2 linked regions of the Caenorhabditis elegans genome follow. The protein of the gene in region 1 interacts with the protein of each later gene in a pairwise test. Each region holds a gene or a part of one and is shown on either strand. Other genes may lie near its edges. The genes, in order: lag-2 and lin-12.

Region 1 (4,395 bases):
AATAGACAATTTTTTCCAAAACTTTGAGCGGCCATAACTTTTTTTTGAAAAACTTTCGGAACGTCTCATTACAAAATTTGGTTGCTTTGAGCCATTTTGAATCCGAAAAAGTCTCAAAAAGCAAAGTCTTAAATTTCGGTACTCCACCTTTAAAAAAAATAGGGTTTCCGCCGAAATTTCTGGGTTCCAATAATATCTGTTACCATTTCCTTGCTCTGCGACGAGCAGCCACCAGACAAAAATCTCCTAATACCCCTCTTCATGCCTTTGTTCTTCCGGTTTGGCGGTCTGAAAAAGAGCACCCCTCCCGGCGGGGGGCTCTCGGTATCTGTTCCGCAAAAACCGTCATATGGAGGGCTATCGGGAGACGGGAAGAGTTGGAAATACGGGAAATGGTGATGAATAGGTAGATCAATCGATTCCGGAACAAATAATTTGAGTTGAGCACGCGTGCTCCACATGTGCTCAGCCGCTTAGGTGTGAGTGAAGATCCTTGGATTTCAAGGCCATCAGCCATTTCCCCTGTCCAGCTAGAGCAGTCCTAAACGGAATTTTTTGCATTCTTTTGCTTCTTTACAATTTCAAATGTTCACTCTAACTAATTCAAAAATCTTTCTTTTTTACGAGCTCTCCTTGCTCGCCGTTGTATTCCATTCATACCTTTAAGACCACCCGAGTGTACGCATATTTAACCAGGCACCCTAAAAACATGAATAGTCTGTGGTGGAGGTAGACAGTGTGTTTTCTAAGAATGTCTCCGTAATTTGAAATATATTTTAGAGTCACCTGAAATTCATTTTTCAAGCAATATTTCTTACCATATCTTTGGGGATAATTTTAAAAGTGGAGTGAAGTCGTTTAGGGACACGCTTTTAAGTTTTAGGAAATGGTTTTTTTTTAATTCATAATTTAAAAAAATCTATAAAAATTGTTACATTTTTTATGATTTTCTCAATTTTGTTGAATGTTTGAATTTTTTTTTTGAGATGTATTGTTTGAATTGGAGCTTTTTTGTGAGTTTTTTTTTAATTTTGCAATTAAATAAAAAGTAGCTAAATTAGTTTTCGAATTCCCGCTCAAATAAATGTCCCAGAATTTACATTTTTGAGTTTTCCGGCTAAATTTTTGCCGTTTTTTGAATATGATTTGTAATATTTGGTCTGAACCATGGTTTTTCCAATTTTCAGAATCTTTCTCGCAAAAAATCTCCGTATCCCGCAAAATAATTGTTGAAGCGTCAAAAATTGGCCTAAAAGTCGATAAATTAACATTGATTTCGCTTTTTTTTTAGGAAAAAAGTCTAAAAGTATTTTTTAAACTATACAAAATCATTAAATTTTGACAAGAAAACGCTTAAATTACAATTTTTTTTATTTTTTAAAAATTTAAAAAAATTTTAAAAAAACATTAAAATTCAGATAAATTGCACAATTTTTATTGCACAAGTCGTTCGTCGTTCGTGTTTTTTTCGCTGTCAAAATGTTGGCAAAGATTGTGAAGTCCCCTGTAGTTTAACACTCTAAGTTACTCCAAAGACTTCTACCTGCCTACCTGCCTGCCTATCTATAACCTAGTGCCTATCACCTACTCGCTGCATAGTTTGATGTACCTATATAACAGTTCATAAATGAATTTTGTCAAAATTCCACTCTCAAGTATTCTTACACGTACTTATTTTGTACAAATCCTTGTCAGTCGCTGCAAGAACATACACATCGAAGAGGCGCAATCGAAACAACAGGTGTTCGCCCGTTGATCGTCTCCCCGCCCCGCCTGTTGGGCGGGACGGGTGTCGGTCACCACCACCACATCATATTGTTGGACACACTTTGCACATCCGGTTCACACCCGATTACCGCATCGGGGTCTTGATCTGGGGCGGCTATTGGATCTTTTGTTTATGTAGATTTTTTTCTCGCCGTTATGATTTTGGATTATTTTTTCTCTTATCTTGCAGTCGACTTGTAATCTTTGCCTGATTGCTAGCTAGCCAAAACTTTCACTTGTTCTTTTTTTTCCTCTAAGTATTTTCCCGAACTTATAGTCGACCTTGAGCTTTGCTAGAAGCCAACAACACTTTTCAAATTTGCCTTTTTTCAGAAAATGATCGCTTACTTCCTCTTACTCCTCACCTGCCTCCCAGTCCTCCAAGCCCGAGTAGAAGTCCATCAAGAGTTCATCTCCTCGAAGCGAGTCTCCGTCCGCTTCGAAATTGTCACAGAGTCCCACTCGCCGAATCGTCCAGTCACATTTGACCTCTTCCCCCGCGGCCCCAAAACCAACATCATCCTTCTCGACACGTTCAACCCGGTCTTCAACTTTTCCATTCAACTTGTGCAGCCGTTCACTGGTCAGCCGCTCGGTGATCGGATCTATCGAAAAGTTCAGTTTTCGGGCACCAACCAGCCGTGGATCAACGACACGTTCACGACGACATCTGGAATTTCGTTGAGCGTGGCGACCGAGGTCACATGTGCTCGCAACTATTTCGGGAATCGATGCGAAAACTTTTGTGATGCACACTTGGCGAAGGCCGCGAGGAAAAGATGCGACGCCATGGGACGTCTCCGCTGTGACATCGGATGGATGGGACCACATTGTGGACAAGGTGAGCTTTAACTTCAGTGTGTGTTTACGTGGTATCAGGCTGTCCCATCAGGGTTTGATCTACAAAAAATGCGGGAATTTTTTGGCTCAAAAAATGTGACGTCAGCGAGTTCTTAACTGGGTCTCAACTCCCGCATTTTTTTTGTAGATCTAGGTAGATCAAACCGAAATGGGACACTCTGGCACCACGTGTGTGTCTCAAAACTTCCTATAGATTTTTTCAAGTGTTTTATTTCAGCCGTTGACCCCCGCAAGTGCTCATGCGAGAACGACGGAATCTGCGTCTCGTCGATGATTCATCCAAGTCAGCCAAATCAAACATCGAGCAATGAACAGTTGATCTGCGAATGCACCAACGGCTTCACCGGCACTCGTTGCGAAATTTTCGGCTTCAATCAGTTCCAGCTGACCGCGCCCCGACCAGATGCTTGCAGTGTCAAAGACGCCTGCTTGAATGGTTAGTTGTTTTGTTAGAGTCTAGACATGAGAATTTGTTTTTTCAGGCGCCAAATGCTTCCCAAACGGTCCGAAAGTCTTCTGCTCCTGCGCTGTCGGCTTCATCGGTGAATTCTGTGAAATCTCACTCACCACCACCACCCCAACTACCGTGGAGATTACCGTCTCTACCTCGGGATACTCCAGCGCCGTCTACATCACAGTTGCTCTCTTCGTGATCTTCTCCATCATCATCGGATGCTTCAAGTACAAGTTCAAGCCGATGAGACAGCAGGCCTTGGCTCGTGGACAGGTACCAGAGCCCTACAAGATGCCTGAGACAAAGTCGATGCTGATCGATCCGGAAGCTTCAGAGGCTCAGAAGAAGGTGTTCACCATCGAGGGCAGTGTGCAGAAGATTGATGAGGAAGTGAGGTATACCAGTGCTCCAAGGAAGTATGAATCGAATAATGAGTATGCCGTTATTCAAAAGTCTACTCCACCGCCACCATCTTTAAGTCCACCGTCTATTCCAGCCTGTCACTATGTCTAGATTCTTCCTTTATCCAAAAAATGTGTGCTTCTTCCACGAGTAAAAATTTTCACCGTTTTTTTCTCAGTTTCTCTCTCTTATCTCATTTTCTTTAACTGTTTCCCTTCTGATGTTACGTGTAATTTCCGATCTCCTACATTCCGTCCCATCTCCCCACCTCCTCCAGCATCCCGCGTTCGTTTTTCATTTCATTGTATTCTGAAATGTTTGTTGTAATTTATACTTTTATACTTTTTGTTTTCTGTTTTCTGAAAAAAAATTGCTGATCCAAATCTTGAAAATCTGGTCCACACCTGTCTGACAGGTGCAGTGTGAAAAGCGCAACCAAAATGATACGAAAAAATTTTCCATCAAAAAATTGGCAAAAAGAATTCAAGTTTTGCAGGTGGCAGATTTGTGGTTGGAACGGATCACATCTGTCAATTTTTTTTTTTAATCATTTAGAAAAAAATATATTGTAGAAAAAAGGTTCAAGTATTTGAACTTATTATCCTTCTCCCCTTCTATCCCGCCGCCAAATTGTCAAACACTTTCTAATCCTGTTTGCACAGGTGAGGTAGGTTTTTGGCTTTTTGTATCCAGAATTATATACACACATATACATATAAGGAAAATTTTAGTATAGACGTGTTTTTTGAGCAAAAATTGAGCAGTAGTGCTTAAGATCTGGATTGTAAAAAAAATTAGCATAATATAACTAATCTCTAATACGTTAGGTAAGTACTTGAAATGTAGAAAGTGGATGGGAACCACATTAAGACACAGTAGTATTACGGGAACATTAAACTCTAAAAATGCGT
Region 2 (5,054 bases), on another chromosome or scaffold:
TAATAATCTCACAATTTCCCACTAAAAGGTTAGTTTTGAAAACATTTTCCCATTATTTTTAGATGCATGATCAATCAGTAAAAAATCAACTAAAACACAAAATAATCATGAATGGTTGAGATAGAAGGACACAGATGATGATGCACTTGTGCAAATAAAAGTAGGAGAACAAGGTAGCCCCATTCACAATATAACGGAAATTTGAATTTTCTTCAGCAACATTTTTTTCATTTTCATAAGATTTCCTATTATCTTTTTTGTGGTAATTTTAAGATTTGACTATTTTAAAACAAAATACCACCAAAGCTGATAATTAATAACGGCCTTCTAAAAAACCAGGTTTTTATAGAGCTATTGTTAATGCCATTTTTAAATGTTTTCTTAAATGTTACACTCATTTATTAACAATATTGTTATTTTTGAAACCTTTCCTTGGCGGGTTCCCATGCCAATAAATCAAGTCAAGAGGTCTTGAGACTAATCCGTCGACGACAGTTCAAAGTTGCCGGTTGATTGTCACGTCACATGTATATGACACCACAGTAACAGACACCTGTGCTCCTGTTGGCTCATCCATCATTTCCGTGTTTTGGGAAAATAGTAGTTAATTGGTAGCAACAACTATGCGTGAATTTTTGCAACAAATTTGGTTCAGATAGCAATTAATTGTCGAGAATAAGGTTATATTTAATTGTGTGAAACAGTTAAAAAAATAATCAAAAAATGATCAAATCTGTTTGAATTCCCGCCAAAAACAAACGCCCACTTTTGAACCAATTAGCGACTTCGGAATTTCCATACTTAATCTGATTGGTTGAAGAATGGGCAGAGCGAATTGCTGATTGGCCATGCAGTTCTCGTTTTGGAGGTAATTCAAATAGAGAGATTAGAAAACACCTTGGAAAAAGCGTGTTCAATATTTTGATTTGTTTTTTTTTCTAATTCTTACTCGATGTGTTTAGTATTTTCAAGCTCTTTCAGCTTTTGAACAGGAAAAGCTATGAAAAATCTCTTCCGCCTATAAAATGGCTAAAAATCATTTATACAATCTTACAGTTGTTCCTAAATGGATAAAACCAAGATATTACTTTTTGAACAAAGCTTAGAAATTTTTTGCAAGTATTGATGTATAAAACTAAAAACTATAAAGTATCCGAATAAACAGAAATAAACAGAAATAAACAGAAATAAAACTCTAAAACTGACACACAAAGACCCAAAAGCCGCAAATCACCATACGTTCCCAGCAGTTCGTTTTCCTCATCTTGATCATTCTTCCTTCCGTTCCCACTCTCTTCTCTTCCACCTCCTCCTACTTCTACTTCATCCAACCATCTGACATCGTCGTTTCATTTTAAAATCATCTTCTCCTCCTTTTCTTTCTCGATGAAAAAAAAGTCTACTTGGTGGCCGCACCGCGACCGCAACAAGTTGGGCGGAGCCATCTGTCTCTCTCTCTTTTGTGTTCATCCTACCCCCACCCCTTCGCCCTCTCTCGTCCTTTTTACTGGGTGAAGACATAACAATAGCCACCCATTTTTTGATTGGCATTTATTTATCCTTAATTAATGATAATGCAAAAGCTACCAGGTTTGGGTTTTATTAGGTTTCGTTTATTGGTAATAATATATTCCTACAGCTCTCACGAAATATTTAAAATGTTTCGAGCCAAGTATTATAGTTTTAAGAATTGATCCTGTTTCCTTCTATTTTGCCCTTGTTTGTTAGTTGACGATGACTGTATTCCTCTTTTAGTATTGCAACTCACTACTTTACTTTGAAAGGTAATATCTCCGCTCATTTTGATGATATCAAAAACTGATTTTCTGCACAATGGAAAAAATATTTTGTCAGCTGACAATTATTATTTAGAACAAATGACAACTGAGATATAAGCTGTCAACACTAAATAACAGGGGTGCAATATTAGTACGGTCCGATCCTTTGCATTTCTATACCGTTTTACTGTCGTCAACTTTCAAACAACGAATTCACTAAATTAAATAATTCAAAACCATTTTCAGAACCTACATGATCCATATCTAAAAGCTAATTTCCTGTCTCTGTCCGCCCTATTGCTCAACAGACTTTGCTCAATTTCAAAAAATGCGGATCCCTACGATTTGTTTTTTATTTCTTCTTATCTCGTTATCAAAATCGCTTCATATTGGCTCATGTCTTGGCTTAATATGTGGAAGAAATGGTCACTGCCATGCTGGACCTGTCAATGGAACTCAAACTTCTTATTGGTGCAGGTATGTGAAGATTTTGCTTAACAATACTTAAACATTTTTTCAAATTTTAATTCAACGTAAAATAAATAATACAAATCTACACATTTTGAAAACTAATCTTAAAAATACGCAATAAATTGGGGGTAAGGAATATTCCTAGGAATTATGGGATTTCCTTTACAAAATTGTCAACTGACCAAATTTTTGTTATTTCTCTTGCTACCGTTTTGTAGTTACCGTATTTCCTCTATTATTCTTTTATTCAAGACTATTAGAGGAAATACGGCAATTCTTTTTATATCTTTGAAATTAACCGAGTTATAACTTTACAAAGTTAAGTAGCTAGGTGCAATACTAGTAAAAGAAGTACTGTAAATTATAACAAAACATTGTTTGTACCAGTAGACTATTCTTCCATAATCCATGCCCTTTTCAAACAATAATTACGTAATCCGTCTTGATTTATAGCGGCATGTGCTCTCCGTTGAGCAGCTAGCTCCTGATAAGATAGGTGATATGGTTCAAGTAGAGACACGTGTCACTTGAACAACACACCATTAATTTATAGTTGATGTTAATTAATAGGAGGACATTGTTCGCACGGGTTCCCACCATTTACGAAACTTGCGCAACAAGAGAAATGAGCGAGTAATGAGAGAAAAAACCCCACAGAGGAGACACCTGCGTCGTCCCTCGCTGTAGAAAAAACTTTCAATTTTTTTGGGAAAAAGTGAGGGAAAATATTGTAAAAACAATACTTTCAGGGTGTTATGGGAAAGTTGGAAAAAGTCGGGTTTTGGATAAATCAACTTCAGAAAAGCAATTCTCAGCCATTTTTTTCCTGCCAATTCTCGTCTCAAAGTCGAAGAAAAACCAGGCAATTAACCCGCTGAGATTCTCATTAAAATGCGAAAGAGAAGCAGCTTTTCCCCCTCCTGGTCTCGCACCGCCGCCAAAAAATCACCCAAATCGGTAGTTTATTGCCATGGGAAAACCGAAAAATACGGGAAATTGAGGGGAGAATTCTTCTTAATGACAAAAAAATACTGGTCTTCCACATTTTTCTTATCAAACAAAAAAGAATGGGGTAGGATTTATGACCAAGTTCCCAAAAGAAATGACCAATGGGGGGTTACTGTAAGATTACTGTAGCTGGTTTTGAACTCCCTATCAGATGTATTATCTGTCAAAGTTTTTCCCGAAAATTTAAATAGAAGTATAGAAAAATGTTTGCACTTTCTGAAAATTGCTTTACTTTCAATTGGCAACTTCGGAAAACTGCAACGAATGCCACTTTTACTCGGCATTTTGAGACTTTGAATGAGAAAAAGAATAGTCTTCAAAATTGCTTATCTTATCACAAATGAGGACTCAGTTGCCACCTCACAATTTTACAGCCGTGTTCCCAGTTTTGTCGGCAAAACATACTGTCGAGTGAGCCTACCATCAGTTGTCATAAAACCATAAAACAATAGGATTACGGTGCCTTTCGGCTGCACGACGTCTTTAATCTTTAACCCTAACCCTTCCCAATGTTTCAGATGCGATGAAGGATTTGGTGGTGAATATTGTGAACAACAGTGTGATGTTTCAAAATGTGGAGCCGATGAGAAATGTGTTTTTGACAAAGATTATCGGATGGAGACCTGTGTCTGTAAAGGTAAGATAATGTAATTTCGAGCTGAATAACTTATACACAACACTTCCCATTGCATCTCATTTTCCTGCAAAACCAATGAGCCAGTAGTGGTCACTTTTTTGCCCAATTCCCATAGGGACCTAAACACCCATCACTCATTTTTTTTAGCCCTCCATGGTGGCGGTGTTGCGAATGAAATGTTTTTTTGGCCCAAAATTCCAAAACTAGGGTCAGCTGCGCGCGCCCTTTTGTCGGTCATCTTTTTGACCACACCATCCATCATAAGCACATGCCTGGTGGAATTGTGGCAAACAACTGACAAAGTTGGGGGTGAATAATAATTTGAAAGTGAATAGGTGGATTTGAAAATTCAATGGAAGTTAAGAAACTAGGAATTGTATCATTTTTAAGACTAAACGAAATATTCGAAGATTAAAAAATAAGAATTTACTTACTCATTGTTAAAGCTATCACAGGTATAATAGCAATAGGCCTATAGGCAACGCGTATACAGGTCTAAATGTCTGCTTCACGCTGACTTGCCGGCCTACCGTCTAATTTTTTAAATGTTAGCTTGAACTCTGTAGTTTGCTGTAGATTGATGTTGAAAATTCAACAAAAATTGAAGACATTAGAAGATTGGAAGTTTGTGGCTACATGTGTAATTTATGCGAAACAGACGTAGGCTGCCTTGTAGGTAGCCAGGCAGGCATTTCCTCATATTTCGAAAGCTTACGAAAACTATGCTTTAAACTTTATGCGCTTACCATTCCCAACTTTCAAAAATTTTACTAATCGTTTTCCGTTAAACCATTTATGAGTATTGCTCCAAACTTCATCAATCTGTAGTTAGTAGATATTTAACAAAGTTACGGCAACCAAACACCTCAATATTTCATCATGACTCGTTTGTATCGAGGACAAATTGAAGCGCGGCCAATCTTTTTCCATTTCTCTTCAGCTCATTTGTCTTGTTGGCGGCGTTAAAAGTGACCGCGTAAGGTGCCTGATAGATAGCTCCTAGGTCATCTGCCCCTCCTAGCCTCTCTGTTTCATGCGCGCTTCTCTATTGTCGATGCGCTTCTTTTTGGCGCGATTTATGTCTGATGTTCGGTATGTGTGAAGAGGGCGGTGAATTGGGCGACGACCCGATGGCGCCTCGTGTGTGTTGCCAATTCTTG

The links.
Region 2: the proteins of lag-2 (region 1) and lin-12 interact in a two-hybrid assay, tested with the Caenorhabditis elegans proteins (one study listed by BioGRID).

Annotation. Positions count from the first base shown.
Region 1 is NC_003283.11:3,186,247-3,190,641, forward strand, and holds lag-2 (Protein lag-2), read left to right. Parts: upstream 1-2,096; 5' UTR 2,097-2,103; coding exon 2,104-2,608; intron 2,609-2,845; coding exon 2,846-3,064; intron 3,065-3,110; coding exon 3,111-3,595; 3' UTR 3,596-3,869; downstream 3,870-4,395. UniProt on the Caenorhabditis elegans protein: Probable ligand for lin-12/Notch and glp-1/Notch receptors and involved in the mediation of Notch signaling.
Region 2 is NC_003281.10:9,068,441-9,073,494, reverse strand, and holds the start of lin-12 (lin-12/Notch intracellular domain), read left to right. Parts: upstream 1-2,022; 5' UTR 2,023-2,106; coding exon 2,107-2,255; intron 2,256-3,775; coding exon 3,776-3,894; intron 3,895-5,054. UniProt on the Caenorhabditis elegans protein: Essential signaling protein which has a major role in many developmental processes; involved in cell fate decisions that require cell-cell interactions. Probable membrane-bound receptor for putative ligands lag-2, apx-1, dsl-1 and osm-11.